Linked DNA regions of Rhinolophus ferrumequinum. The protein of the gene in region 3 interacts with the protein of the main gene of each other region in a biochemical or structural test. Links are inferred from orthologs where the notes say so. Each region holds a gene or a part of one and is shown on either strand. Other genes may lie near its edges. The genes, in order: AHR, ABL1, RB1 and CCND2.

The links.
Region 1: the proteins of RB1 (region 3) and AHR form a complex in vitro, tested with the Homo sapiens proteins (2 studies listed by BioGRID). The link is inferred for Rhinolophus ferrumequinum from reciprocal best matches to the Homo sapiens genes RB1 and AHR.
Region 2: the proteins of RB1 (region 3) and ABL1 form a complex in vitro, tested with the Homo sapiens proteins (3 studies listed by BioGRID). The link is inferred for Rhinolophus ferrumequinum from reciprocal best matches to the Homo sapiens genes RB1 and ABL1.
Region 4: of the proteins of RB1 (region 3) and CCND2, one has a biochemical effect on the other in vitro, tested with the Homo sapiens proteins (4 studies listed by BioGRID). The link is inferred for Rhinolophus ferrumequinum from reciprocal best matches to the Homo sapiens genes RB1 and CCND2.

What each region holds. Positions count from the first base shown.
Region 1 is NC_046303.1:21,922,741-21,930,858, reverse strand, and holds the start of AHR (aryl hydrocarbon receptor), read left to right. Parts: upstream 1-4,718; 5' UTR 4,719-5,376; coding exon 5,377-5,441; intron 5,442-8,118. UniProt on the Homo sapiens protein: Ligand-activated transcription factor that enables cells to adapt to changing conditions by sensing compounds from the environment, diet, microbiome and cellular metabolism, and which plays important roles in development, immunity and cancer.
Region 2 is NC_046295.1:78,885,290-78,892,936, forward strand, and holds the start of ABL1 (tyrosine-protein kinase ABL1), read left to right. Parts: upstream 1-4,501; 5' UTR 4,502-5,778; coding exon 5,779-5,914; intron 5,915-7,647. UniProt on the Homo sapiens protein: Non-receptor tyrosine-protein kinase that plays a role in many key processes linked to cell growth and survival such as cytoskeleton remodeling in response to extracellular stimuli, cell motility and adhesion, receptor endocytosis, autophagy, DNA damage response and apoptosis.
Region 3 is NC_046287.1:89,097,655-89,105,397, forward strand, and holds the start of RB1 (retinoblastoma-associated protein), read right to left. Parts: upstream 3,705-7,743; 5' UTR 3,519-3,704; coding exon 3,394-3,518; intron 531-3,393; coding exon 404-530; intron 1-403. UniProt on the Homo sapiens protein: Tumor suppressor that is a key regulator of the G1/S transition of the cell cycle. The hypophosphorylated form binds transcription regulators of the E2F family, preventing transcription of E2F-responsive genes.
Region 4 is NC_046293.1:86,595,313-86,603,574, reverse strand, and holds the start of CCND2 (G1/S-specific cyclin-D2), read left to right. Parts: upstream 1-4,681; 5' UTR 4,682-4,954; coding exon 4,955-5,149; intron 5,150-6,926; coding exon 6,927-7,142; intron 7,143-8,262. UniProt on the Homo sapiens protein: Regulatory component of the cyclin D2-CDK4 (DC) complex that phosphorylates and inhibits members of the retinoblastoma (RB) protein family including RB1 and regulates the cell-cycle during G(1)/S transition.

The DNA.
Region 1 (8,118 bases), on a different chromosome or scaffold from region 3:
TAGCACTTGTCACAGTTGCAATTACACATGTATTTGTAAAACTACTTGATTAATTCTTGTGTCTCCCGTTACAACATAAGCTCTAAGAGGGTAGGAATATGTCTGATACCACAGCAGTTCCCACAGTGTTTAGTATATGATAGGAACTAAAACACTTTGCTGAATGAAATGAATGAATGCATGTACTGTGACAGAATAGGTATAGCATTCATTCTGATTGTATTTCTTTATTCTAGAACAGCTATTTATAACAGCATTGCTAAAATGTATTTCTTTTTTTCATAATATTTAGCAGGAATAAGGAACCCATAGACATACTTCGGCATCTGAAACCTCAGAAAGCAATCTCACCTCAACTAAATAAAAGGATAACATTGCTTTTGATAAGGCAAGTCAAATATTCTTAAACTTTTATAGGCAAATTAATTGTTATAAGGAAAAAAACTCATGTTACTACATAAAAATTGCTAATAAAAAATTTAAAAATTTAGCGATGGCCACGAATCACACCTCGAAAACTATGTTCTATAATGCTGATATTAGGAGTAGAGAGTGATAGTTTCTAGAAAGTGGCAAGTCACTATACTACAACGATTAATTTTATTGACACACTAAGCAAAAATGTTAAGGGAAGTGTATGGTGTCACTATTAGAATAAAATGAATTCTAAAAATCTTATCAACATTCTATTTTAATCTTGGTTATACAAAGATTCATTACTTAACTAAGAATGGAATATAACAAAGCATTATATGATTTCTGGATAATGAAAATAATCTTAAAGTCAAACAGAATATAAGGGTATGTAAGTAGAACAAAATAAGAGAATGATTGTACCAAATAACCAAAAACCTTTAAAAAGGTGGATTTAATTACAGTGGCCAAGACATGGAACCAACCAAAGTGTCCTTCGATAGATGACTGGATAAAGAAGATGTGGTATATACACAATAGAATACTATTCTGCCATCAGAAAAGATGAAATAGTACCATTTGTGACAACATGGATGGATCTTGAGATTATTATTCTAAGTGAAATAAATCAGACAGAAGAAGTTGAGAACCATATGATTTCACTGATATGTGACATATAAAACTGAAAACAACAAAGGAACAAGACAAACAAATGAAGAAACAAAAACTCATAGACACTGAGAATAATTTAGTGGTTACCAGAGGGTAAGGGGGGAGTGGCGTGGTAGGTGATGGTAAACAGTATCAAATATATGGTGATGGAAGGAGAACTGACTCTGAAGTGGTGAACACACAATGTGATGTATAGATGATGTATTACAGAATTGTACACCTGAAATTATGTAACTTTACAAACAATTGTCACTCCAATAAACTTGAATAAAAAAAAAAGTGGACTTAAAAAAAAACCGCAACAACACTGAATTATTATAAGGTTGATTGATGAGACTTCATACATACTAAAATCTGGCTCTCTCTGAGGCTATCATTTTCCTAAGAGTTCTCCCAAATGGTGCCTAATTATTTTCTCTCATCACACATCCATGATACAGGGTTGATGTCCACCTAGTTCCCTGTTGCCACTTCCCAGAACCCTTTTACTTTATGGTCCTGTAAAATTAAAACAAAAGCCATCAACCCATCAACCACAAAACACACTATTCCTTTGTAGCTCATGTTGTAACACCCTCCTCATCACATCTCCTTTATCTTTCTGATCCTAAATTACTAGCCTACGACATCTCACCCACCATTCTCCTCTTCCCCAGCTTTTGTAGAGGAGTTCTCCGCAAACTTTAGGTACATTTGAATCACCTAGGAGACCCTGTTAAATTTAGACTATGACTCAGTAAGGACACCCAGAGATTCTGCATTTCTTATCACTCCCATGAGAAGCTGTGGACCACTTTGAAGAGTAAAGCACTAGAGAGTCTATTTCTGCTATTATCTAATCTACTATAATCCTAATTCTCTATTTCTGCTTTGGCACTTATTCCCTCCTGTTTTTAATATCTATGGTTCCTTTTCTGCTCCTTGTCTTTCTTACAGTCAGTCTCCCTCAACTATTTAAGCATCACGCATTAAAAAAAAAAAAAAAAAAAAAAAAAAAATCTAGTTTAACTCTTTACTCCCCCTAGCTACCATCCTAGGTCTCACTCTTTCACAGCCCAAATTTTCAAAAAAGAAATTGTGTTTGCCAATGTCATTTCATCTTCAATTCAATTCTGTACCCACTTCAGTCAGACTTGCAGGTCCATTAGTCCACCAACATAGTATTCACAGAAGTCACCAATGACCCCACGTTGAGAAGCCAAAAAAGACATTTTCAGTTCTCATCTTATTTGAACCTCTCAACAGCATTCAATACTGTTAGCCACTCCTGACATTTCTCTACCTTTTCCTCCATGACACAATAGTCCCCTTACTCTTCTGTTACCATTCTAGCAAATCTTTACAATCAGTTTTACAGGACCATAAACTTCTTCTATCCAGCTAATAGTACATATTGAAGTTCTTTGGGGTTCCATACTTCTTTTCCAGTATATATTCACACCCTACAATTTCCATGCTCTCAGCACCTAAATGCCAATGACTTCTGAATTTGTCTCAAGCTTATACATCTTTGTTACAAACCTGTATATTCTATGGTCTACTTAATATCTTCTCTTCGATGTCTCAAAGGTACCTCAAACATGAGATCCAAAGCTAAGTTAATTTCCCACTAGTACATGCCATTGTCACATAGCTAGATACATAATCCAGAAAACTATTATTATGTTTTTGACATGTCCTCTTCCCTCACTGTCATAAATACACTCCATTTTCGAAGACCTCCCAAATATCTATGGAATCTATTCAGTTTTCTCCATTTCCACAATCACCCATCCTAGTATCAATAATTGTCATCTCTTGGTTGGGCTACCGCAAATGGTTTCCTGAGGAGTGTTACTTTTATCCATTCCACTCTGTTGCTCCCTCTTTAATTTGTTCTACACCCTGCAGATATGGTGATATTTTTGAAACACAAATTTGATCATTTGTGCCTGTCTCTGCTGATCATACTGAACTTGTTTTAATCCTTCATACCTGCCCTCCTTCTCATTAAAGGGATGTTGCTTGTACTATTTCATTGGCTTGGAATGTTCTTGCTTTCCCTTCCTTTCTCCTACGATAGCCTACTTTATCCTTCAGACCTCAGCTCAATCATCATTTTTTAAGGGAAAGCCTACCTTTGCTTCAATGAGTAGGTCAGATTTATCTACTAGAAAATCATACTGAATCATGTACTTCTCCATTACAGTATTCCCCAAGAGCATGGTAAATTTCTGATTTGTTCACCATGGTCTCCCCACAATTCCTGGCACATTGGAGTTCCCCCGCAAACATCTATTGATTGAATTAATGTGTAGAGGGGATATCAGGTGAGGAATCCTGAATGGTATGGCATTTGAGCTGGTATTATTGAAGAATAAGGTGGAGGTAAATGAATTAGGGATATTGCAAATAACAAAATTTAATAGTTTTTGCTGGGGTATTTATATATAAGTGGTAGCAGAATTGAAAATGATTCATAGGTCGATCGGGAAAATGGTAACACCAATGAAAAAGTTTCAGCTAAAGAAAATGATGAGTTAATTTATTGATGCACTGAATTTGCAGTAACAAACTGACCAGGTGGAAACGGCTTGAAGACATTTTAAAATGTAGGAATGGATGTGGTATGAGATGTCACCCAGATATCTTGATCTGGATGCCCTTCTGCTCCTGACACACAAATATACAGTTAACCACACAGAAAGAGTCAAAAATCCTGGAAAAATTTGAGATTACTCTCTCTTCCCCTATTTCCTTATCCTTTTCTATCATCTGTATTTTCTCTCTTTTCTCCATTCCACTGCCACTTCCGTGGACTTGCACTGGATTATTTCAACAAGCTCCTAACTACTCTCACCGCATCAAATCTTGATCTCCTTGTAATCAATCTGGTTTGCACTTTCCTCCCAGGGTGACTTTTCCAAGACACCAGAAAGTCAATCTCCTAGTAAGTATCTAAAAGGCTTTCATTGCCTACAGAATAAAATTTAGACTCTTTACCAAGGCTTTATGATTTGATCCTAAATTCCTGAACTGCACTTCTAGCTCCTCTGTCCAACCATACCACACTACTTATTATGTTCCAATGCCTCATGCTTCCCTTCTTCCTTGCTTCCTTCTTTTCAACCTAATTGAAACAAAGTTATTCTGGCTAGGAAAAAGATATTGTCTAGTACACAGACCAAAAAAAAAAAAAAAAAACACCAAAAAAACAAAAAACGAAAAAAAGAAAAAGAAAAAGCCAAGGAAACTGCCAGCTTTCAAATTCCAACTCAAATGTGGGCTTCTGAAGCCTTCCCCTCTAGGAAAATTGAGGCCCACAGGTTATCTGCCAGTTTACTGTAAATCCTAGCCAAAAGTTAGCTGAGTCACTGTCTCTCATATAGGTGAAGTTAAGCTCACTATTTGCCATGTCTATCCTTTAGACAGTATAGCTATGAAGAACTTGGCTATATGTAATTTGTTGTCACATTTCTTTCCAGGCTCGAAATGTGGCCACAGAATCCTCCCCTTGACCTCAAGAAGATGGCTACGGAGAGACATCGTTACGTCTTACGTCACTACGTGCTGAGAAGGTGGGGCCCTCAAGGGAGGGGGTGAAGGGCGGGGCCAAGTTGGGTGGGGCGGGGCTAGAAGGGGCTGGGCGGCTCTAGAGAGAGAGGTCGGGGGCACTTCTGCAATTAAGCTGGTGCGCTCAGCGATAGGAGGACACGCCGGGAAGGTCCACTTGACATTCTGTCCCGGGCGCGTGCCCGGGACCACCGGCTCAGACCAGGCGCAGCTGCATAGCCGAGCGGAAGCTGGTGGCACCGGGAGTGGCGTCCAGAGCTCGAGCTCCACAGGCGGGAAGCACCCAGGATTGGGGAAGCCCCGGGAGCAGCGCGGCGGCGCCTCCCTTACCCAAGGACCCGCGACGACGGTCACGGGGCGCGGCGCCACCGTGCGCGATCCGGGCCGGCATTCCAAACAGGCGACCCAGGCTCCTCCTCGGCCCGGCCCGCCTCACCTGCGGGGCAGCGCCGCGCCGCCTCCGCGGCTGTAGACGGCACCTGCGCTGCGTCTCTCACCGGTCTCCGCCCGCCGCCCGCCAGGAGCCAGGCCCGGCGGCGCACCTGGACGCGGGGGCTGCGGGAGCCGAGGCTGAGAGGGCGCGGTGTCTTCCCGCCGCTCCGGGAGGACGCAGGTGAGGCGGGCGCGGCTTCGTGGAGCCGGGCGCCGGCCGCCGCGGCCGTCCCAGCCACAGGCGGGTCCCGGAGCCCCGGCCGTCTGCGCCCGCTCCCGGGGAGGAGCCGCCCGCGGTTGGGCACCATGAACGGCAACGGCGCCAACATCACCTACGCCAGTCGCAAGCGGCGGAAGCCCGTGCAGAAAACGTGAGTGTCCGGAGCTCGCCCTCGGTGCGGGGGCTGGGCGCTCAGGCGCGCGGGGGCGAGAGGCGGCCCCACCCCGCCCCCAAATCCCCGAGGTCTGGGGATTAGGTCCATTCCTGACACGAGCGGTGGAATCGAGATTTGGGGGCGGGTCGAGCGACCCAGGCCTTAGATTTCTTTCCCCCATTTTTTATTGTATGTTAAAAAATGACCCCCGTCCCCGGCGCGCACGAACCCTCTCACACCCCCGGCCATTTGCAGCTGTTTTCTGTGGTCCTAATTTGTTGACAGCTCTGGTCTGCCCTGTGGGGCTGGTGGCTTATTTAGCATAAACCCCTCTTGAAATCCCCTTCCATGTTTAATAACCTCTACGGTTAGAGGACGGTCATAATTCTCATTCCTGGTAAAGCGAGGTGTTTTAAAGAGCTGACCGTGTGCCACTGCAAGAAGGGAGCTCAAGTGCTTCTGAAGGTATTTCTTGGTCAGGTGTAATTGGCATTTCGTTGCACTTTTGTTTACTTATTTGGCAGTGATTTTGTAGGGCTCCAGATGGCCGTATCGGTAAACTGTATAGAGATGGTAGCAGGTGTGAGTGAGTCTGGTGGGCAAGGTCCAGTGGGGGGATTCGATTTTTCAGCTATCTTTTTGGGGAGTTCCCGCTTTTGCGGTGGTTTTAGGGTCTGTACAGTACAAAACAGATTTGGAACTGGACTTAGTGAAACAGACGTTTTCATTCTTGATATCTTTCTCTAATTCCCTTTTCCCCCTACTTCAAAGTTTTGTCAGTTCTAATGGAGCGATTCCAGACAGATTTTTTTGTTTGCCTTGGTGGGATATTTGTGTGAGATAGCAAATACTTTAAAATAATTTTTTTCAGAACAATAAATCCTGGTTGAGACAGATTTACTTTTGTGAGTTGGCTGTATTCATGTGTTTATTCCTTGTTATCTCTGAGTTACTTCACGTTTTTCAAATTTTCATAAACAATTTTAAGAACACATTACAGATTTACTCAGAGCAAACTAGAAGTGTGCATTTTGCCTAAAACTTAACTTAGACCACGAATCCAAACCAGAAAAGTAGTTTAAGCTTTATATTTAAATCCGCCAACTGGTGTAAGAGTTTAATTATTCTGGAGTTTTAACTTTCTTTTAGAATTTCAATATGAAGAGCATATTGAAGAGCATTCAGGTCTAGACTTGGCGTTAACAGAGGATATTCATCTATAAAATCGACTGATTAAAATTTAGAAGTCTTATGCTGCAGAGTGGCTGACAGGAATACTGCCGAGTCAGCAATTTTTTGTCTTGGCAGTTCTGGGACATTGATTTACAAACTAGCAAAAGTAGAGTGATTTGTCTAATTTGGCTTTGTCCTTGATGGCTAAAGTTGAGAGGCATTGCAAATGCCTATTCTATGTATTTATTAATACAGTAGCACACTTACCATAATTTATAATAGAGACATCATGGACTTTTTTTATATATAGTCAGAAAACTTGGAGATCTCCCTAGTGGATTTTTAAGTTACTGATTTTTTTTGTCGTGTGTTACAAAAAGGCTTAGATGACTTAAAAAAAAAAGTCATATACCTTATTTTTGTATTCATTTTTATAAAGTTTAACATTTTTGACTTATAGATAACATTTTATTAAAGATCTTCCCTTTACACATACTGCATTTTCCTTTTATTTTTATGTAAGCTGTATCTTTTATCTTAATATTTTAATATATTTCCTAAGACTTTAATAAAGTTGCATGTAATAATCTCTTGTAATACAGTGTTGCTAAAGCATTTTCCACATTACCCCTATTTTATTTTATTTAGTATAGATGTTTATCAGATATTTATTGTGCACCATGCATTGCTTCTAATCATATAAATGCCTTAAAATGTCACTTCATTGCTCCATAAGAAAAGCCTAGTGCTGGCATTTACAGAATCACATGAAATTGTTTACAAATTAGTTTTGCCTGAGTGAAAAACGGTTAGCTTTATAATGCAGTTAATTAAAGTTCATTTTAGGAATGCGGCCATAAAATCTAATATTAAGTTTAACATGGATATTTTTAAGTTAAATTACTATTTGTAGCTAATGGGGTCTAAAATAATGCCAACATTGTCAGAAAAACACATCTTTGCACTGAAAATGCTTTTGAGATTTAACTTTGACCTCTTAAGTGAAAGCTATTTTATTTTACTTAAAGAGAGAATATGTTGTAGCATAATTATAGAGCTGTTGATAAGACAGCCATCTAAATATATAGTTCTATAAAATTTTGGAATCAAGTCGGTTACATAATTTTAACCTGAAGCTCTTCCAGTCAATCTTCAATTGAATTAATTAAACAAGATAAACTCCCTCTAGTGGCAAGTCTAATATTGAGAATTACCTTCATTAGTAGGAAATACATCTTAAATATGTTAAATTTAATCCCACTAAAGTATGTTGTATATAGTAGACACTCAGCAAATGTTTCCTTTGTCTGGGAGTAATAAAAGGAAATTAAAGGATCTGAAGCAACCTTGCATCTGATCCGTGTTCCTTCCTACCTTCAAGAAGACATTTTCAAAGATAACGTTAGGAATAGATTGTATTATAACTTTCCTTAAAATGTAGTTCTGTACTTAAACACTCTACCCAAAACAAAAAACAGTTTTTTTTCTTAAACCGTGTTCT
Region 2 (7,647 bases), on a different chromosome or scaffold from region 3:
ACAGGAGGGATAAGGAGAAGCATCTGAAGAACAGGACTGTGTGTACCTGTCTGGAGTAATTCTTGAAAGTGAAGACCCTGATTTGTGGTCCTGTGTGGGGCTCAGCAAAGCCCTGGGACTGGGAGACTCATCACTGGACCTACGTCAGGTCGCCTCCAGCCCACAGACCTGCTTTCTTATGTTCAAAGGCAAAGCCTGAGAGAGGTGAATCGCACTGCTGGCCCCTGGGCCTGCCTGCAGATCCCGGCATTAGGGTTATTTGGGGTCTTTAAAAGCTCGCAGGGTTCCAGCTGAGTGGACTCCCTTCCTGGAATAATACGGCAAATCTTTTACTCTCCATCAATTCACAAGGCACAAGGCCCCGTGAAATTGCCCCTCTCAAAACATGGCCGCCCTGACCCCCAAATTGTCTGTTTTGGCTTCCATTCCCACCTCCTCTACAACACAAATACAACATTGAAGAATATAGTTGATAAACGTAACCCAGCAGTCAAATAGAAGAATAAAGGCAGCCAAGCAGCTTTCTGCTTGGCTGGGTCTTATTTCCCATTGCATGCTCCCTTGTCGGGATAGATACAACTATACCTACACTGGCTGCCTTAATCTGTCCTGCCTGTGAGGGTGATTTGTAAGAAGTTGAATTATTGGTAATAGAATGAATGTTTTGGGTGCTCTGATAAACATGAAATCAGAGTAGGAAAAATGGAGATGGGAAAAGAAAAGCTAGTGTTCTATAATTGAAGTAGTAATGCATTAACTTTTGAATAATTTCAGGTTGAAAGATAAAACCAAGCTGCTGAAGTTCTCACTGGGAATGCTAGAATTTGTATGCATTGGTTTTTTGTTGTTTTTTTTTTAAATTTTTTATTGGGGAATATTGGGAAACAACAGTGTGTTTCTCCAGGGCCCATCAGCTCCAAGTCGTTGTCCTTCAATCTAGTTGTGGAGGGTGCAGCTCAGCTCCAAGTCCAGTTGCCGTTTTCAGTCGTTAGTTGCAGGGGACGCAGCCCACCATCCCATGCGGGAATTGAACCGGCAACCTTGTTAAGAGCTTGCGCTCTAACCAATTGAGCCATCTGGCTGCCCCCCTATGCATTGGTTTTTGACGTCTAAAAAATGGTTTCGATTTTGGAAAACATTTTTTAATGGCACTCTGTGAAATGCAATTTTATTTCACATGTGAACCATTTTTTTTATATTTATAAATGTGGCGTTAACATTACTTTCTGTTCTGTGTTCTTTATAATTCTTGGGAGAAGAGTACAGTTGGTAGAGGGCTAAGCAGATAGAAATTCTGCCAGAGGCTCTAACCATTCTACCTGTGTCAGCTATAAAATTTAGGACAGTTTCAGTAGTAACGTTGAACCCTGCATTTGACAGTTTTGAAATGCAGCATGGCTTTTGTTAAATGGTATATTTTTAACGTTACTCAATAGACAATTTTTTACCTCATTCTTTTTCTGTCCCAAAGGTATCAGCTGTTTCGAGGATTTTGCAGACAACTGAATATTCTGTAGGCTGTGTTGCAACTTTAGACCTGCTCACCTGTCATATTTTTGACAACACGTGCCAGGCCGTATGCCTCATGAGAGAAGGGAATGGAAAAGGATGCCTGGGTCCCGGGTTTGGTTTGGTTTTCACCAGGGCCATGTGTAAATTTGTGGAAAGTTATCCTTCTCACCTGTTCTCTTCCCAAGCTGCTTACCCATGCTGTTCATTCAATATCTGCTGAATGGTATCCACTAAGGGGAAATAACAAAGGAAGGTCTGTAAGCACTTTTTAGTGATTATTTTTTGTGGCCCACTAGAGGGCGCCCTTGTTAAGTATTCCAGCCGATGGGAAAAAATGGAATCAACTGAATGGAATAAGGGCAGATCACACAGGTACTGAATCCCTTTAGCAACTTGATTGATTGCTTTGCTTTATAAAAGTGAGGATAACATTAGACTGAAACAAACTACTTTTAATAAAAAGAATATATGAACGTGAGGAATTCAACATTCGGAAACACTGAATTCTGTCAGGCATTTGTCGGGCTCTGGATTCTAGTTTTAAGTCCTTAAAAATATCCTTCTGCAGTGTTGTATGGGGAGTAAAAACGTATAGTACATCTCCAGAAATGGAGCCTGGGCTTGGGGGCTCACCTAAAATTAGAAAATGGGGGAAGTAGAAAATGGAGATTTGGGATAAGTGTTTAGATAAGTGCAGCTGGCCTCCAGACTGACTTTCAGGAAGCATAATTTCATCTTTAATTGTGGAAAACCAAACAAGATCTCATTTGACCCTTATGATAACCTTGTAAAGTTGGCATGTATGACCTGCCATTCGGAGAATTCAAGTGACTGGATTAATCCCATTAGCACCTGTGAGTGAGTGAGGACTAGGTTTCAGTTCTAGAGAGGTGTCAAAATGATCCTGCAGAGAGTGGGTCAGACTCACTGAGAAGGGATACAGGTCTAGGAATTTTATTTCCACCATTGAGACTGACACTTTGGATTGTTACTCATTTTGCTTATTGCCTGTTGCTCCCTCCATGTGTGCTCTGGGAGGACGAGTCCTGTCCCCTCCCCCCACTGTGTCCCAGCACCTAGGACAGTGCTTGCAACACGAGCTCAATAAATGCTTGTCGAATGAATTGTTCAGGAAATGTGTATTAGAGTTTCTGGCTGGATTGCCTGATTTTAATCTAAACTAGAGAATGAAGAATGAAGATGAGCAGGAAATGATTAAAACATGAATAAAAATAAAAAAGCAAGTCTCCAAAAAAAAAAAAAATTAGGGTGGTAAATCAGGATAAGACAATGGGTAAATAAAGGAACAAGGGCGTTGAAGTTTTCAGGGTGATATACAAGCCAGGACCAAGTTTATCGGCCAGACTTTTGTGAGAGCAAAGTTCAACCAGTTACCATCTGAATATAAATTCCAGTTCTGAATCTGGGCACAGATTTTCATGTGCTCACGTTCACTCCCTCCAGGTGACTATTTCTTCTTGAAGCCTACATAAAATCACACCATTTTCCAATCCAAAATACCTAAGTCAAGATAACAATGTACAAGATCTATAATACGGCTGTGGTTTCCCCCTAATATCATTAGCAACTTATGAAAAAATCAGTTGTCTAACATTACGCTGACTGTTATTTGATACTGAATGGTTATGGTGGAAAATCCATGGGCTTTGGATCAACACCAATCTGGACTCAAATCCTGACTTTCTAACATATTAGGTAAGTGACCTTGAGTTAGGTCGAGTTTCTGACTGTTTTCCCAGCTGTCTAATGGAGGATGGTATTACATGCCTCATTGGGCTACAGTGAGGATTAAATGAGATAATACAGTTTATGAAAAACAATTGCGTGGTGTAGAGGAGGCATTGTGATGAGTGATGAGTGATTCCCCTTAGAAACTCGTATATTCTTGTCAGGTAGGTGCACCGCTCTGGGGAGACGTGGAGAGTTAGGAATAGGGAAAAGGTGAATTTTAGTAGCAGAAGATGGGTTCTGACGGGGGTGGGTTTGTGTCCGCGTTATTGGCTAGCTCTGTAGGCCTTACACAACAATGGACATTTTCCCGGCCAACACAGGATGTTTTCAGGTAAATACATGTACACCTGTAAAATGAGGTTTAATTGTAAAGGTTCCGTTCAAAATCCATGATTGCGCCTGGCTCAGCCTCCGAGAGGTGCTTTAACAAATGCTGTTTCTCTAAAGAGAGGCTCCTGATGCCCCAAAGAAACAATGAATTCTTTAGCAATATGTCGGATGCTTTCCAGTCATTTATTTCTCGCTAGTTCTAACGTTTATGCTTCTTGGGAAGAGGTGGAAATTTGGGGTCAGGGAGTGGGCACCAAATACCTTGGTCTCCAGCGGCGAGCTAAATTTTCTCCCTTAAAAGAGGCTCAAGGAAGTAATCCAACTCCGGTTCTGAGAAAGTCCAATCCGCAGTTTTCCCCTTGCTTTGGCTCCTCGCGGGTCTTACCCGCGCAGTGGAGACATTGGCCAACCCTATGCAAGGCCGGCGAGAGTCCACCGGCTCCCAGGAGGGCGGGACCGAAGCTCAGGAACCGGGAGCAGAGGGTAAGACGTCTCGGTGCTCACGGACAGTGGCGCGCACCACCGGACCACAACTCCCGGCATGTCCTGTGGGCTACGCCGAAAGCAGTTGGCTGGGAGCTGTAGCCCTCCTGCCCTCATCAGCCAATAGGACTCAGGCGAGAGACCTGACCCGGATTCTCGGGGACCAATGGTAGTACAGGGGAGGCGGGTGCTGCCTCACTACTCACCTTGCACTCGGAAAGACCACATTTAAAAGGTCGTCTGGGGCCAGGTTCTGGCGGGCAGGCAGACTAAAGCGGGAAGGCCCGGCTGCGTCCCTAAAAGCGGTGTCAGGAGGGTCCCGGTCTTCGCGAGGCGCGCTGCGGACGTCGCCGGGGGCGGGACCAGGGGCGAGCCTGGCCTCGTTGTGGAGCGGCTCGTATCCATCATGGCGTCGCGGGGGTCGGTGTTCGTCCCTGAGCAGCGCTGGAGCCGGAGCCGGTTCCCGGGTCTTGCGGCTGAGGGAGCCCCTCCGTTGTCCACGGCCCCTAGCTGCGGGGGGAGGCTGGGTCCTGCGGCGAAGCTCGAGGGATGTGACTGCCTGGCGGCGGCGGCGACGTCCGGGGCCGGGGAGGGGTGTCTCGGGCAGAGACCCCCGGGCTCGGGGCAGCTGAGGCGGCCGGGCTCCTCCTCCCCCCTCCGCCGCCTCCCGCTTTCGGAGCCGCGAGAGCCCTTCGTCCCTTACAGCCCCGCCCCGGCTCTGGGACCCTGGGGGTGGTCTCTGTTTCCCCCAGACCTGGGACACCCGGTTTCCTGAGGCGTGAAGGAGCGTCGCCCCCGAGTAAAGTCAGCCGACCGTGCCGCGCCCCGGCAGCCTCCCTCTTACCTTCGAGCCGCCCCTCTCTCCGACTCCCGGCCCCAAGTTTGGCCTCGGAGCCCCCCATTCAAATCCCCTCCCTGCTGTCAAGTGGGCTCCCCTTCCCCCCAGGTTGCTCCGGGGAACCTCAAATGCCCTGACTTCTCCCAATGTCACCTACGGCCCCCCTGCTCTCAGCCCTGCCAAAACTTTAATGCAAAGGAAAAGTCTGGACTCGTTTCACAGGCCTTTAAAAAGCGGACTTAAAAGTTGCTGGCCATGCATTCCTTTTCGTCCGAGTCGAGGGCAAACTCGCGCTGAAGCCTGGGTGGACCCGTGTGCTTTTCCGGAGAGCAGGCTAAGAGGAGCAGGAGCGGCAGCTAGTTCGCAGGAGGAATTTGTCGGAAGATGAAGAAAGTAGGGGGTGGGTGACTTCCACAGGAAAAGTTCTGGAAAAGCATCCAAAGCCGATCAACATTTTCTTTATGTGGGGGAGTCAAAATGACTTGAGTATTACTGACCCTTTCACAGCACCCCCTGTGAACATTCCTGTTTAGGTTTTTCTCCTCGAAAGGAAAGAAATTGTTATTCAGCCAGTAAAAGACACGTAAAATCAAGAAACTTTTGGGTAGCTTTGCAATTACATTACTTCAAATTGCTAAACTGCCAAAACTAATCGGAACTCCTGTTTACATATGTCGGCCTAAAAACTGCTTCCTTCGGTTATGGAAGGTGTGTTTTTTGGGATTGACCTCAGTTACTGACTTGTGGAGATGCAGTGAATGTGAAATCCCACATAAACGTATATACAGTTGTCCTCCCAAGCTCGCTGATCATTCTGAAAGATCTTGAACCCTCTTCTGGAAAGGGGTGCCTATCCTTACTTTATGGGGCAACAGCCTGGAAAAGTTCTTGGGGACCAAAGAAGGCCAAGTTTGCCTGCCCTGCACTTTATCAAAGGAGCAGGGAAGAAGGAATCGGCAAGGCATGGGGGTCCACACTGCAATGTATTTGTGGAACATGGTGAGTGCTTTTCAAGCTTTCTGGTCACATTCTGCCTTCCGTGTTCAGCTCTAGGAATGCATAAGGAACTTGAGCAACAGCGCTTGTGTCGGTTCCTTCCAGGTCTTCTTAAAACTTCTGTTACTGTGGTTATCTCTTAGTTTCTTTGTAGAAGAAAAAGTTACTTGGTGACTTGCACGGCTTTATTCAATTTTTTTTGAATTGCTTATTTCTTGCCGGATTCCCCTTCTGACTGTTGACCTTGGACAAGCCATTTTACGACTCCAGTTTCCTGAGGGGTTGGACTTAAGTGATTTCCCCAGGATCCATAGTGCGTGATTCTGTTCTAACATGAGACATGGGCTCTTCCCCAGGCGCATGGATCCTCTACTACTTTATGCACAGAGAACCTTTATCATGTCCTTAAACTCCTAAAGCTTAAGAGCCAGAGATCCTAGTTGACACTAATATCCTTGACCGTTTCAATCATAAGAAAGATTTGAAAACACTCACTTTGCAGCTAAGTGGGAAAAATCAAGTGGGGAGGCAGCATTCCTCATGAATGAGGGTACCCCACCTGGAGATATTTTACCTTATGCAAGTGATACTCCTTTCCCCATGGATGGAGCTTTCCTCCTCTCTCCCCGTTTTAGATGACATTTGGGGCAAGAAAGGTCGTCTGACATTTTTATGAACATAGTTGGCACTTGAATTCTGACAGTGTGTGTTATACTATCACTTCCAGTAATTCTGTGTGAAGTTTTCAAGCTAACGGCCAACTTAGACCAACGTCTATACCAGCTGGCTGTGAACCAGTTAATTAGGGTTTCCTTTGTATTGTTGCAGCCTGACATTTTTCAGACTGGGTGCTTTATGTTAAAATATTGGTTGAGCCCGCCCACCCTATAAGCAAATGTAAGATGTGTGCAAGTGGCATATACTTTGAAATTCAGTCACAAATACCTCTTAACAGTGGTTGACTACAATAAACAAAGGTCTCTGTTCAGTGAACTGGCATTTGACAGTGGAGGTTTGACTTTCTTACAGAAAAATATTCACCTCATGTAAATAATCTGGGTACTTGGATTTTATTTTAAAACTTTAAAACTTTTAGTTGTATTTTAGCATTGGTTTTAGACAGGCAGTTACGGTAATGTGTTATGTTCTGGTGCTTCCCAAATTCAGCATTTATAAAGTGAATTATTTACATTTTTATCTATTAGGTTGGTGCAAAAGTAATTGCGGTTTAAAAGGTTAAAGAGGGGCCGGCTGGGTGGCTCAGGCAGTTAGAGCTCCATGCTCCTAACTCCGAAGGCTGCCAGTTCGATTCCCACATGGGCCAGTGGGCTCTCAACCACAAGGTTGCCAGTTCAATTCCTTGAATCCTGCAAGGGATGGTGGGCTCCGCCCCCTGCAACTAAGATTGAACACAGCACCTTGAGCTGAGCTGCCCTGAGCTCCCGGATGGCTCATTTGGTTGGAGCGCATCCTCTCAACCACAAGGTTGCCGGTTCGACTCCCGCAAGGGATGGTACTGGACTTGGAGCTGAGCTACGCCCTCCACAACTAAGATTGAAAGGACAACAACTTGACTTGGAAAAAAATGCTGGAAGTACACACTGTTCCTCAATAAAGTCCTGTTCCCCTTCCCCAATAAAATTTAAAAAAAAGGTTAAAGATAACTGCAAAAACCGCGATTACTTTTGCACCAACCTAATAGTTGTGCTCACAGAGGCTTAGATAGTAAAAATTAG
Region 3 (7,743 bases):
AAACACATACACACATGCAAAAAAAAAAATGGAAGAAACACATCAAAATATCATCAAAGATCCTGAATGCTAAAAAAAACAATTATAAGACTTTCAGGAAATTTGAACACTCGCTGCATATTTGAAGACATTAAAAATTATTTTATAAGGCATGGCTTTTTAAAAAAATTCTTTATATCATAGTGAAGTATTTATGAATAAAATATATCTAAGATTGGCTTTGATGGGGGGCTTATATGAGGATTTTTTTTAAAAAAGTTATTGGAGGTAAATTGTCTCTGGGTAATAGATTACTAGATTTCCTTTTCTTCATATTTTTCTATTTTCCAAATTCTCTACAGTAATCCAAAATTATTTTTAAAGTGAGAAAAATGTATGCCAAAAATTTTAGGAAAATCCTTACCAATACTCCATCCACAGATGAAACTTTCTCCCAAGTTAACCAAGCTCTTTCTCTGACATGATCTGGTATCTTTAATTTCTGACATAATGCAGTAAAATCAGGCTCTTCAGTTTCTTCAAACTCAAGCCTACCAAATGAAAATATACATGTAATAAGCACATACTTACAAATAAAACTAATAGACATTTGTTTCAACGGCTTGCATATAATGGCACTATTCTGAAGGATAGCATTTCTAAATACTTTAGGATCTTATTTATCTTCGAAAAAAATTACAGTTAGAATTTAAACATGTTTATCTTTTTCATAGTCTTTCTAAAATAAGGATGCCATGCAGTGAAAAATGTTTGCTGGCCTGATCATAGCTTTGTGAAGTGAACACAAGAGCTAAAGCTGTTTGGTAAAATAAGGATAACAACAAGAGAAAAGCCCATTATTACAGAATCAATTCACTATCAGTGACTTTGCTAAAATACAGTCTACACTTATCAATGTTTCATATACATAATCTCTCCACCTACTAACATTTCTTACATGATGATTAACTTGACACAAATTATTGCTAAGTTCATTTCAGCCTTTGCTCTTAGATCTTCCTTAACCAAGATATGCAGTCAATAAACTCTTGTTGGCTAATTCCTTTTCATTCCTTTAATGTCTATCTGACATCTAATATTATGAGGAATAGCTCTAATAATTTTGTATACTAATAGTATGTATAATACTGTATAAGTAATGCATGTATAATAGCATGAGGAACAGCTAACAATTTGAGTTTTTACCATGACCCCACCAAAGCAGCTTAGATGCATAATTTTACTGAATCCCCACATTAGTCCTATTAGGTAACTACTCTTACTATCCTTGTTTTACAGGTAAGTACCAAATCAGAGAAGTTAAAGCACTCACCTGACATCACAGCCAGTAAGTAGGAAAACTTGATATAAACCCAATAGCCTAACTTCATAACCCACTCCCTTGAGCACTATTCCAGACTGCCAACCATCCTTCAAGACATAATTAACTTTGGTTATTTCAACAATGAAGATAACATGCAGTTACTGGTGAGGGTTTCCCTCCCAACTACATCATTCAGGCCAGAGATAATGTAAAAGAAGGATCTCAACTGTCAAGGTAGAAATGGACTCTGTCACTGGAAGTGCAGTTGGACTGGGCCTCGAATCCATCCCTAAGTAAATTTCTTGGCTGCAGACTGCCAGACAGTGGTGCTATCCTTGCTAAGTAGTTCATCTATAGAGTTCGATTGCCCATGCTAATGAAACCTTTTGTGTGTATGGATAATCAAAAGCAAACTGTATCTTGTATGGTTTTGACTTACAGGAGAATTTATGTTTCCATCATTTAAAGGTATGCAAAACAAGGTGTTGAAAAAACAATGAGTTTCCATCATTTAAAGGTATGCAAAACAAGGTGTTGAAAAGAATAAAAGAAACCAAGTCCGAGGTGATGGCCAGAACTTCAATATTTCTGGTTACCTTACAATAATCGAGACTGTTTCCAAAGGTCTGTGGATAACATGGAACACTTTAGTAAAGTAGACTTGACTGCTCTTTCCAAAGGGAAACTTTCAAGTATTGGATACATCACAGTGTAATCAGAAGCTAAATAATGTCTTCTCCCCCAGAACATCCCCAGAATTTTTTTTTTTTTACTGGTATGATGTTAACTGACCCATAAGACAGTCTTTTGAAATATATGAATTTTTAATAGCCTTTCACGGGCCCTTTCCAAAAGCCCATTCCAATCTTTTACAATTTGGCCTGAATTCTGTTAGTGTCTGGGGAGGTGAAAGAAATGGGACTTGGCAATGGACTAGAACAAGGGAGGGAGTGGTGAGGGACAGAAAGGAGTCCCAACTGCTTGCAATGGACATGTAGTCTGAAAGTAGGACCAGTGCCCCCAATAATGACAATTATACTCTTTCAATCTTAACTTCTTAACCACAGAGTACCACAATCAAGAAAAATAAGATGTTGCAATACAATAAATATCTTCCTGTCGTGTTCTACTGCAATATCATGGACTTTCTTAAATTTAAATTCCACTTAGGAAAAAAAGTTTCATGTATGCACAAGAACACAAATTTTGTAACCAAACAAAAAAAGGGCAGGGGGGAAACACCAGGACCTTTGCTGGCTCAAAGCCAAGAGGCAAAATGGAAGAAATAATGAGACATGCTGAAGCTGACTCACATTCAGTTTTAAGAAAAAAGAAAAAAAGTTTAGACCCTTTTAAGCACTTAGACTACATGTCTCACAAGACTTTTGCCCATACACCATTTCCTCTAAAGTTACGTTCCAGCAGTCACTACGATGGCTCTGTATCCCCAAGACCTCAAGGCATTATTATAGGAGAACCGTACAAAGCACCTCAGCCGAGTACCCTGGAGGCAAACTGACACTCAGGACCCTGAACTTCACGTCCAATGGCGTCTCTGCAGCAACGTCCGAGGCTTTTCTGGTTGGCCTTTCCCAGAACTGGGCTTGAGCTGGAGTTGCACGCCCAGAGGAAAACACTTCCAACTGTTGCATCCCAGGAGATCAAAACAGAAAGTCTAAGACCACCGGAGTACTACAAATCTCAACAGGAAAAAACTCTCCACCAGACACTATTTTTTTTTTTTTCCGTTTGATGGGGCCTCTAAATTACCCGCCGCCTGCGAGCCTCCCGTCCCGCGGAGGAAAGGCGGCACCTGTCACTTCGCTCAGGGACCCGAGCCCCACCCGCCCGACACCTGTCAAGCTGGAGCCGAGACCCCTCCCGGCTGCCCTCCCGTCGCTCCCGATCCCAGGCCCCTGTCACCCGCCTCCAGGCGCTCCGCGGCGGTGGGGGACAAGCAGGGACCCTCATTCCGCCGGGACCCTGCCCCCGGCGAAGACGCGCCCCCGCCAGACGCCGCGGCGCCCGCCGAGACGCATCCTCGGGGCGCCCTTCCCGCGTCGGCCGCCGCAGTGGCTCTCCTCGCTCACCTGGCCAGAGGCAGGTCCTCGGAGCCACTGTCCTGGTCGGGGTCCTCCTCAGGAGGGGGCGGCGGCGGCGCCGGGGGTGCGGCAGCGGACGCGGCGGCTGCTCTCCGGTGGGTTTTGGGTGGCATGACGCCCTGCCCGAGCAGGAGCCAGCGAGCGGCGAGGAGGACCCGGGACGGAGGACGCGCGCACGTCGGGTCACGCCCCGTCCTCTCCAGACTCCCGTTACAAAAATAATTTGAACGTCCCCTGAGAAAAACCGGACAAGCCCTCCCCCGCCCGGCAACCTAGCGCCGCGTCCAACCGCGGGAAAACGTCACTTCCGCCCGCGGCGTCACGTCCGCGAAGCTCGCGGGCCCGCCGGCGTCGGGAGGGAACCGGGGCGCCTGGTGCTGCGCTGGGTGGGGACGGGAGGTCGGGCGGGCTGGGCTGGGCGGGGAGTCCGGGCTTGCGTCCAGGAGCCTTCCCCGAAGTCGCCGCCTGAACCTGTCTCCCGCTTCCAGGCATGGGTGCGGGTAACGGGGCTTTGCACAGTCTGGTGGGGGAGATTGGGCCGCATCTCCATCTATGGGCGGATCAGGGGGTGCCGCTCAGGCCCTCCCGGGAATATCAGGCTACTGCACCCTCTACGAGCACCCCCCTCTCTTCCGTGGGCGGCACCCTCAGTCTCCACCGCACTCCTCCCGCCCAATCCGTTAAGCAAAGTTGGCCAAAACAAAAACATTTATGGAACATCTAATGGGAGCGAACTCTGCCAACCACTAGGAGATACGAATTGTAGGACAATTACGGGCCTTTTAGGGATCACGTGTAAGAAACGGAGGGGGACTGTGGGTAAATAACATTATAGTGTGATAAATGTGTTAATAGTGGTGTAAAAACAGGAGGCACCATCAAACTGTGTAAAGGACATCTTCAAAGGAGCAGTGGGAGTTGAGTAGAATTTTGCCAGGGAGACCTAACATTTAAGGAGGGCTTAGTATTGATAATGGGGAAAATATTAAATAGAATGAGCATTGCTGAGAGAGTCACGTAAAATAGTCAGGAGGCTATTAGGGATGTGGGACCCTACACATCTTGTGCTTCAGTTCTCAGAGCTGCGATTAAGTTGCTAAACCTGTTGCTAAACTCAGCAGAAGGCCCACCCATAAACATCCTGGAACAGTAACTGCTACATAGACATATATATAGACTTAGCTTCCTTCCTTCTCGGTTTCTTGCCTCCATCGTTTGCATATTGGAATTAACCAATCCCTGTAACCTACCCGACAATCCTCTATTTGCATGAAAGAATTACACTTTGTCGTTTTGCTTTTATAAACCCTATCTCTTTGTTCTGTCCAGAGCCCGTTTTGGGTTGCTACCTGAATCTGGGTCTTTCAGATTCGAATTCTTTTTTAAGACCCGCGAATAAACATTTAATTTGTTTTACAGCCTGAAATCTTTATTGGTTAACATTAGGTACCACGGTTGTGCTGGCCATAATTATCTTACTTAATACTCAAAAACAATCCTTTAAAACGAGTAGTGCTTAGTATTACTCCTCTTACCCAATGGGAAACAGGCTCAGAGAAGTTAATTTGCCCAATATTTCAGAGCTGATGGGTGACAGAGGATTTGAATCCAGGTTGATTTGACTCTACACATCCATTACATTGCATTGATAAAACACCAAAAAGAGAGAAGCAGCATGTGCAAACGCACAAAGACAACAAAGAAGAGCTTGCTGGAACTACCACCATCAAATAATGGCTTAGAAATTGTGTCTTTTCTGTCACTTGGTGTATACTTACTGTAATAGATTGTCTAGATTGAGTACATGTTTTTCTCTCTTTGGTAGATGGTGAGGATTGCCTCGCCAGAACTTCCCAGCTGAGGTGCTGTGAATAAGACACAGTGTGCTCTGATGTGAATCCTCTCATCCTTGGAACAGCTGAGCAGGGCTGAGGCAGCAGAAACCTTCAGGCAATTCACGGCTACAAGCCTCTTGGGTTTATTACAGAAGTGAGTAGATGGTAATGAATTCCCATTTTCTGTGTATACCATGATGTATGCCAATATTTAAAAGGGGTTGTCAGTCCTCAGCCTACTCAACAGCCAAAGTATATTTGTAAGCCAGCGATATCTGCCTAAGATCAGAAACCCTCACGTGGGGACCAAAAGTCTGTCAAGAGGTAGGATCCATGCCCAGCCCCATCTATATACAGCAACTCCCGTCAAAATGGTAATCCTGTTCACTTTGCCCAAGATTAGTGTAGGCAGGAGCTCAGGATGCAGTTGGTCTTTCCAAGGTCACAGATAGTCTGCTAAGAACCTGCTAAAATGAGATACAGGATGACACAGTTCTTCTACTCCTTAACTATTATGAGGATGCGACCCTTGCAATTGCTGCTGCCATTGTGACGTAAGACAAGCTGACTTGAGAATAAAGCAAAAATGTTAAGGATGGTACAGTAGAAATGTCAAAAAAAAAAAAAAAGTATGTCCTCAGTAACATAACTGAGCCTCTGATTTAACCAGAAAGCATCGTAAGTTACACTATTTCTCTAATGAGCCCCTTCAGGATGGAGACCAAATCATTGTAGCCCTAGTGCCTATCACGGTGTTGGACACACAGTAAATGCTTGTTTGCTAAAAGTGGGGAGGGCAGGAGAGCACAGGAAAGTTCTGGGGACTGGAGTAAATGCTCTTCATAGGCAGATAAGACTTGCTTTATTAATCTCAGTTTATCAACATCTGGTTTTACCACAATTATGATAAATCAAAAAGGGATTTCTCAATTTACAAAAGGGTGTGTATCTTTACCATGAATTAATTTCACTGTTCCCTACTACATTTAGAATCCTTACACACAGCTCAGGAGCAACTGAGTCAATCAAAATCCTTGCATCTCCACACAGCTTTCTGTTGCACTTCCAAAGAAGTAATACAAATTCTGCAGATTCTTAAAAGAAGCTTCCTCTGATCTTCCTCCATTTGCATAGTAGTTTTAAGATTGCCATTAAGACCAAATAAAGATCTGTCTTAGATGTTCTACCTGGAATGGAACTTTTCCAGCTTGAGGCCCCTTCAGTGATGTCAATAGTTTTTCCCCTCATCTAAAAATTCTTCCTTCGACTTTTTTTTCACTCATAAGGTACCACACTGTTTCCATTTCTTTACCATCTAGCTTGCTGAAAGGGTAGTCCCCATTCGTTCTCTACTTCCCCAAACGTCTCCCTTCTAGTGCCTGACTGTCTTCTACCACCACTACCAGCACTCTCCTGAAATCACTCTTTCAAAGGTCACCGATGTCCTAAATGTCAAGTCATGGCTTCTTTTTGGTCCTCAACGTACTTAACCTTTCTGGCAGTTAACACAGTTATCCACTTCCTCTTTCTGAAAATTTCCCTAGTCTTCCAAAAATCCATGGTCTGCTTGTTCTCCTCCTCCCTTCTGTTACTTACGACACTCCTCCACTACCGTGTTTCCCCGAAAGTAAGACCTAGCCAGACAATCAGCTCTAATGCATCTTTTGGAGCAAAAATTAATATAAGATGTGGTGTTGTGTTATGTTATGTTATGTTACGTTATTATAGACCCAGTCTTCCGTTAATATTTGCTCCAAAAGACTATTAGAACTGATTGTCCGGCTAGGTCTTATTTTCGGGGAAACACGGTAGTTTTCCTCCCAGTCTCTTCAGTGCAGGTTCCCTAGAGCAGCACTACTAGTGGTCCTTGGACCAGTGCCAGTTTGCAAACTGCTTGCATTTGGTCCAGAAGGAGATATGTGCAGAAATTAAGAGTAAATGCTTAGCAGCATTTATTGCAATTTGACATTTCATCACTATCCAAGCACATGATCATTGAACACCTCTCATTAGACAGAGTATAGAACAGTTCAGGTGTTCTGTGACTTGTGTGGTGAGTTGCGGGTAGCATGTCTGTGTCCTTGTCATGTGCTATAGTAAGGACCACTATAAGGAAAGAAAGTTTAAGGTTAGTCAACTGTAACCCAAAAGTGAGTGAAAACGTATCTATTTATTTACTCTTACAATTTTTATAGTCATTTTAATTTTTAATCAGCCTGTTTTTTTGAAATTCATAACTAAATAGGGGAGTAAAATTTGTGTCATTTGTTTTAATTTAACCCTAAATTATAAATGGCAAAGTAAACCTCACTGTCCTGTTTCGCCAAGAAAAAACATGTCAGTAGCAGGTTAGTAATAATAGTAGTAAACCAAATAATGACTGGAGAAGTGATCCCAAAGAATTGAAGACTTAAGTGTTTGTACTAATTTTACTCAGAAGTATAAACCTCCCGCGATTGACTTCATAGCCATAACTCATGGCAAAATGCTAAAACCATGAACT
Region 4 (8,262 bases), on a different chromosome or scaffold from region 3:
CCCGATTTTAAAGTAAAAAGTAAAATAAAATAAACTCTTTGCGGGGGGGGGGGGGGTGGTGAAAGATGGCGGGGGCCGGGAAGGTCGGGGGCAGGGCCACCACTTCGACTCGCGGGCGAGCGAGCACAGCAGCCTCCTCCAGCCCGCGGGCCGGCTGAGCCAGCGACACTGCCGGGTCCGCGGCTTGTGCGCCCACCGCGCGGGGCCGGACACGCAGCCGCCGCCCTGCGTCGCTCCCCGCCCGCCGGCCCCCTCCCCCGCCGCTTCCTCTAGCTCTCCCAGCCCCTTCCCCCACGTGTGGATGACGTCAAAATTCCGCGAAAAAGCCGCGTGGTGGCTCCCCGAGCGGAGGCGCGATTCAGCCGCCCAGCGGCCCCCTCCCCGGGCGCCTGGGGGAGGGCGAGGGACCCACAAGGCCCGTTCCTTTTCCTCCCGGGGGGGCAGGGCCCAGCCGACGCCGGGAGCCAGACGCCCCCCGCCCCAAATCATATTGGAAAATTCACTTTTATAAAGCTAATGCATTTCCAGAGCTATTTTCGGCCTCGTGAGGCGTGTCCTGCAGCTGAATCAGACAGGAAGAGGGGGAAGTTCGGGTCTTTTTACGTTTTTTTTTTTCCAAGGGAGGGGCGTAAGATGCTAGGTGGGTGAACAGACGGCAGGCGCAGTTCTTCCTAACCCACGCCTATCGCATCTGCCGCCCCAGGCACACAGCCCCGGCGCAAGCTGCAGCGCGCCGCAGGGGCAGTCTGAATGCGCAGGCCAGGCCGGCCTGTGCCCCCGGCTGGAGCCCCAGGACGGGCGGGGGGGGCGGCGGCGAGAGGGCCCCGGAAGCTTATTCACACCTGGAATCGCAATGCCCAGGCTTCTGGGAGACTCCTGTCGGCTTGTTCCTACCCACTCCCGTTCCCTGTGTTCTCCAGTTGCCGATCTTTCCTTTTCCTTTCGCACATTTTTCTAGTTTGCTCTTATTCCCTTCCTATTGACCCCCAATTCCTCTTTCTGTACCTCCTTCTGTTCCTTTCTGATATTCCGGGAGCTCGCAGCCAAGACTGGGACACTTAGACATCCACTTTCAAGTAACTGTCGGGTTTTCGGTTTTGGTTGTCTGACCATTCATCCCTCAGTGGAGAAACATATACATAGTTCTACGCTTTGGAGGATGTAGGGGGAGGGCAATGGCCCCCATTCCTGAGCCTAAACTCACTCCCCTCCCCCAACACGGCCTGAGTGCTGGGACGCGGAGGGAGCCGGGCTCGAACTCGCGCGGCTCCAAGGTTTGGAGCCGACGGCGCGATCACCTGGCTGGCCGGCATCCGCCAGGTGAGCTTGGGAGTATGTATGCTTAGCGTTGCAGGTTCTTGCAGAAATGTACCTATAAACACACAACACCCGGCTGCACCCTGCACCTACAGGGTTTTGTACACTTTCCAACCGAAACTCCAGAACGCGGGGAGTAGGGGTGGGGAGCCGGCAAAGGAGGGAATAAAAGTCCAATAAAACTTGCGTTCGCTCAAGTTTATCACTGATCCTACAAAGGACAGGATAGTGTGGGGTGTTTTTTTTGCCTTGAGGGGTGCAAAGGGGATAAGAAAGAACTAACAGTCTTCTTTCTCCCTTCTCCCCCCCCCCCCAACAATGACCAGTTTTGACTTAAAAGCCAGAGCACAGGCTCTTCTTGGTTTTTCTCCATACCTAAGTCTACTCTCAAAGAAAACGCGCACTTTTGCCCAGAAGGCAACGTGCGTTTACCCGCGTGGCTCCGGGAGTGCTTTTTACCCAGCAAAATTAAGGATTTAACACACAGTCGGAGTGGCGACCGAAAGGGAAAACTCGGTTCCCAGTCCAAATCTCCCAGAGACATTCCTGCCAACCTCCGCACCCTTTCGCTCCCCACCCCGCGTGTTGGAGACTGAAACACGACTGGGGGACCGATTCGTGGCGAAGTTGATGTTCGGGAGCATTCCGTAATAGGAAGGGGAAGTGAACGGGGGAACTTGCAAAGGCCAGCCTGCCACGCGGGAAGCGTCCGAACTCGCGGATCTGGGTAAATTGAGACAGGGACATCCGCCCGCTCCCCTCCCCTACGCCGGCACCTCTGCCCCCCAACCCGCCGGAATTTCTCCGCGAAGCCTGACGGGGGTAAGGGTAGGAGTGGAAGGGGCTAGAGGGCCAGGGACTTGAGCGTTCGCCACCCAGGCTTTCTTCCCAGGGTGGGCGAGGCCCCGAGGACGACCACCCGCCTCTTCCCCGCCCTCCTCTCCCCTCGAGGAGACCCAGGGCTGGGGATGCTTTCCCTGCAGGGAGGTGGAGAGGAGACCGCGCTCGATTAGTTATCAAGTGATGTCAAGAGGCTGGAAGCCCTCGCCGGCTCTGTCCTTGCCTGTCGGGGTAGATTTATACTTTAAAAACACCTCTCCCCCCTAACCCCCCAGCAGCTTGCTTTGATCCATTCAAAGGTGGCTGAGGTGAAGTTTGAGTGATTCTTTTATGGGGGTCTTAAAATGTAACAATGTATTTACCCGCAGTGACTCAAAAGCTTGAGTCGGGAAGTCTGAGTAAAATCAATAGGTGATTGTCAGGGACCGACTCTATTCCGAGGAACACCGTACTCAGCTGGAGTGTCATCACTTTTGAGTTTGTCATCGCCGAGTGTTTCATTTTGAGTTTGCAACTTGGGTTTTTCAGTGAGCTTTTTTCCTTCCCGAAAGCTAATGGCTTCTACAGCAATTAGACATTTTCCTCGCCCGCCCCTTCCCTCCCCTTTCTATACAGGAGATTGGACACTAATTCCCGCGGCTATTGATAAGGTCGGAGGCGCCCGGCCGCTCCCCAGCCTCGCCCGCGGGTCCCTGTTCTCCCTCCGCCCAGCCTAGGCTTCCTTTTGATGTAGCGGGGAACACTACCAACTGAAAAAAAAAAAAAAAAAAAAAAAAAAAAAAACCCAACAAAAAAAAAAAACCAGAAAAAAAAAGAAAAGAAAAAAAAGTAATCTGCCCGGTAACAATCAGCGCGCAGTAGCAGGAGCCCCAGAGCCATTGGCTATGCAAATAGAGGGAGGGGAGACGGCGCCCCAAACTCTTACTCACCCTTTTAAAGCGATATCCCCTCCCCCCACCCCTTCCGCCCCACCCTCGTTTAAAGGGGCTGGCCCCCGGGCCTGAGTTAATCGCTAGCACCTCTGGTTTATTCACTGCCCGCCTTGTCTATTCCACCTCCCCCCTCCTTTCAAGGGAACAGAGTGAGCAGCTCACTCAGCCCGCGCCTCCCCCGCCCCGCTTGCTCTCGGGCCCCCTTTTTCGGAGAAGGAGGCACTCTGCGGACCTCGGTGTGTCCAGAGCCCGGACCCACGCCATGCTCACTGCACGTGTCAGCTCCACCAACACGCGGGGGTTCTGGGCTCACTCCCCTTCCTCCCAAAGTGAAATAATTCTGAAAGGCAGGGTGGGGGGGTGGCGGGAGGAAGGAGGTAAGGAAACGCCACCATATCCCCTGTGAAAGCAGCCTTGACCCGAGGATGCATTTGAGCACGTGTCATAGCCAACTGCGCGGGCAGCGTCTCCACCGCAGTCCCGCTCCGGGGGAGAAAGCCTGGCTGGCAAGTGAGGCGTGAACCCAGAGGGGTCGGCGAGGATGCAGGCGAAGGACCGGGGGGTGGAATTCAGGGGCCTTGGGGTAAAGGAAGGAGTGGTGTTGTTTGCGCAGGGGGGGTGAGGGGGAGCCAAACCTAATCCCTCCTTCGCCCCCCTCCCCTCCCCCTCCAGGGCTATTTCCTAGAAAGCTGTATCAGTGGCCACGCTCGCGGCAGACACCTCGGGCGGCTTGTCAGCAGATGCAGGGGCGAGGAAGCGGGTTTTTCCTGCGTGGCCGCTGGCCGCGAAGGAACCGCTGGCAGCCCTGCCCCCGGCCGCTGCAGCTCAGGGCGCCTCGCCTTGTCTCCCAATGGCGCCGTAGCGCCCCCAAGTACAGGACGGTTCTGCTCAGGGTCACATTCTACCACGTCGGAGAAGCCGCCCCCTCCCTCCTATCGCCCTCCCTTTCCTCGCCACACACTCTGCGGAGCGGGGGGGCGGTGTAGGGGGGACATTGTTCTGGTTCCTTTGATTGGGCTTTTGAAACAGCTTTGAAATGATCAGGAACATAAATATCAGGAACACAACCTTTATATCTGGGTATGCGAGGTTGCAATTTTCTAAAATCGCCCTCCTTGTTTTTCACTGAAGGGATCTATTTCTAAATTGTCTGAGCCCACCCCATCAAGTATTCTACCCATCATTCCTGAATCTTCAATACGTGGGCAGGAGTGATAGGATGGGTTTTGAAGAAGCCAAAGTTGGAGGGTCGTATTTTGGCACGATACATTACAGAGTGCGAAATTAGAGGGAATAAGTAGGAATCGGTGGGTTTTTTGTGGGTTCCCCTATCAGGGGCCCCTGGCATGCGGGGCTGGATGGAGGGAGAGGGCCTCGGAGAGCTAAGGAGAAGGGTGGGGGGGCGGGGGACCGCGTTTGAAGTTAGGTCGGGCCAGCTGCTGTTCTCCTTAATAACAAGAGGGGAAAGGAGGGAGGGAGGGAGAGATTGAAAGGAGGGGAGGCACAGGAGGGGAGGAAAGGGGGAGGAGGAACCAGAGAAGGGAGCGGGGCGAGAGGGAGGAGAACTGCCCAGCCAGTTTGCGTCACTGCCTCGGAGAGCAGAAGAGGAGAGGGAGCTGGGGAGAACGAGACAAGTTTGGAGGGGAGGGCAGGCAGAGTCGGCAGCCCCCGAGGCTCTCCTCTCCCACCGCCCATCCCTTTCCTCTCTTCTCCCCCAGCTCCTCTCTCTGCCCTAAACTTCCCCCCCCCCCCGAAAACCCCTATTAGCCAAAGGAAGGAGGTAAGGGGAACTCTCTCTCCTCCTTCCTCCCAAAAAACTTTTCCATTCCGGAGAGAGCAGGGACCGAGTGGGCACCCGGCTGGCCATGGAGCTGCTGTGCTGCGAGGTGGACCGGGTCCGCAGGGCCGTGCCGGACGCCAACCTGCTCTACGACGACCGCGTTTTGCAGAACTTGCTCACCATCGAGGAGCGCTACCTTCCCCAGTGCTCCTACTTCAAATGCGTGCAGAAGGACATCCAGCCCTACATGCGCAGGATGGTGGCTACCTGGATGCTGGAGGTAGGTCAGCAGACTGACGCTCGGTCTGTCCCCACCCGCATTCTCGGCCCCCACTCACGTAGGGACCCTAAAACTGAGGGAGGACAGCCTCCGCGCCCGCCTCCCGGCTCCCGTGTGCGAGGTTACCTCGCGCTCTTTGGCGAGACGCGTGGCTGCTTTTCTGTTCTTTGCAGGATGCGAGATTAACTGGGGGAGGGGAAGAGGAGGGAAGAGGAAAATCTGGGAGAAACGAGGCTGTCCTGGGGCGGGGGTGGGGGAGCATCCCGAGCGCGTGTGCCCGCATGTGGCTGCCTCTTCTTCCCACCCCCATCCCGACCTGCCCTCTGCGAAGCCCGGGTTGCTTTCTGTGCAGTGAAGAAGGGAGTAGGACCGTGAAATCGGTACCCAGAAGTAAAAGGCAGCCTCCCCAAAAGCCAGAACAAATTCGTCCTAGCCTCAGGTTCCCGCATGTGGTCGCGACTCCGCGTTGGCACTAAGGGGGGAGGGGGAAGGAGGAGGGAGGAGGAGAGAAACGGGGAATTCAGGAGCCCCGGAAGTCACATTGAAGAAATGTGTGTTTTAGGAGAACCCAAAAGAAATACTTCTTTACCCTTGCTCCAAATCTTTGCCGAGAGCAAGCCGTGTGCCCACGTATGCACAGCTCTGGACCTGCCGCGGTTTCGCCATGTTGCTTTGCAAAACTCTGGTTGGAAAGGCTGGAAAACGTCGCCCGCTCCCCTTCGCACCCCATTATCTCGGCCACCCCACTTCTAATAGTGCCCTCTCCCCCAACCCCCACTTCACAATGGTTACTTACAGTTTGGCTTTCCAGTTTCCTCGGTGCGGAGATTTGGGTGGGGTAGGAAGGGGGGGAGGAGGTGTGTGTAGGGGGAATATCGGGGCACCCCTAAAGGAGAGATCAGAGCCCCCGTGCCTCTCTCCGGCGGCTCCCGGGTCCTCATCTTTCCCTCAGCTCGTCACCACGTCCCCTAGTTTTCTGCCCTTGTGGGCCGCAGCCGGACACTCCCGCCGCGGCGCTCACCCCTCCAAGTTTCCCCTCGGGATCTAAAGCCCCAGGGGTCAAGATACAGACCTTTCTGGCACCCGAAACCTCCGTTTCGGGAAGCCTGGATCCTCCTTGGGGTTTTCACGCCAAAAGGGCTTTTCTAGGATATTTCCTCGATTTTTAATTATTTTTTGAAACCGTCCCCCCTTGCTCCGACTCCAGCCGCCGCGGCTGCGGCGCTCTTCCTCCTCTGCGCCCTCCCCCTCCCTTCTCCACCTCTCCCCACCCACCCCCCCAATAGCGGCGCCTGGGCCGCAGGGACCCCCCCGGACATTTTTTCTAATTGTCGGGAATGATAGAGCAGAGTCTGGGGGTCCGGATGGGGCCAAGAAGGAGACCCTCGGAGCTTCCAGAATATTTTTATTGATTTTTTGAAAAGATGACGAAATCCAAAAAAGAGAGTGAGTGAGTTAGAGTGAGCGAAAAAATGAGTAGGCAAAGGGAGCGGCGTGGGGCTGCGCTGCTACTGCGCATTTCTTTGCCTCTCGGTTTTGGATCTTTAATTCACCTCTTATTTTAGTTTCCTGGGGAATAAATACCACTAAACAGAGAAGCTATTTAGATTTACCCCAATTTCCTCATCTTTATTCTTACCACATATTCTACTCCCCTCCCCCTCCCTATAAAAATTAAATATTTTTATTTCCATAGATTGTGCTTTTTCACTTTTTTCTCTTTTCCTGATACTATTTTCTCTCCCTCCCCCCCCCCCAACTCTTTCCCACATTGTAGGTCTGTGAGGAACAGAAGTGTGAGGAGGAGGTCTTCCCTTTGGCCATGAATTACCTGGACCGCTTCTTGGCTGGGGTTCCGACTCCCAAGACCCACCTGCAGCTCCTGGGTGCTGTCTGCATGTTCCTGGCCTCCAAACTCAAGGAGACCATCCCTCTGACTGCAGAGAAATTGTGCATTTACACCGACAACTCCATCAAGCCTCAGGAGCTGCTGGTAACGACTGTCCCCTTTCTGCCTTTCATCTTGTCTCTCTTCACGCTGTCTCCTGGCCTCTTCTGCTTTTACCCACTGCTCTCCAAACAAATTCTTGGGATGCAAAATTACCCACCACTGGAATTTTCACATTTGTGGGAGATATCTCTTTTAAACTGAGGTTTTTTGTGTGTGTTCCTACTGTGTGCCAGACACTATGCTAAGAAGTACTGACTGAGGCTACATCCACGAATGAATAAGCTCTTCATGGAGATAACATTTTAATAAAATTGCAAATTTTCCATCACTGAATTCTGAGAAAACAGTTCCACTTTCCACATGACAGGAATGTGTTCACATGATAGGAATGTGTTGTGGTGTGTCCCCTAAGAACCCGGAGGTCAAAGGTAGTGACTTACATATTTATAAAGTCTAAAGATACCTGCACGTAGATAGCCATTCACTAAAGATCAGCTCACTGACTTTTGCACAAAGTCAAAATGTGGCCCTCATTGGAGGAAGCTGAGGCTTGGACTCCTGCCTCCAGTGGGGCTGTGACCTCTGTACAACCACAGGGGTCCTCTCTTGACTGGTTTCATGACAGCAAACCCTTTCCCCACCCAATCTAACTCTTTTTCCCTGCAGCTTCACACTTAGGACGTCCATGTTGCAGCAGTGGAATGGTAGAGCGGCTCAGCGGCCCACCTTCAGTGGTCTGCATACCTTTCTCTGCACTGTTCGGAAAAGGGGCCCCCCCCCCCGCTTACCGTCCTTTCCTCCTCTTTACTGACAAGGCCTCCACTGAGTCCGCAGGGCTGACTGGCTGCTAGTAGGACCGAGCTCTTTGTGAAAGGCCTTCCTTTCTGGAGCTGTGCTGCCATCTAGTGGCAGACATGTGCAAGGACGGGGGAGAATTGCCTAGAATGTAGCGGGGCATGAATGACTTCACCTTTGAACCGCTGCCAGATTTCGGCTGCTTCTGGTTTGCTCCGAGAGGCCCAGAAAGGTGCTTTCTTCTGGGAGATCTGCTTCCTTTAATAATGGTACAAGACGAGTGGTTTATACTCACATTCCGCTGTGAGAAGGAAGGGCTGGAATTTCAAGACATCTTAGAAAACACGGGTTGTTCAGTAGTCTACCT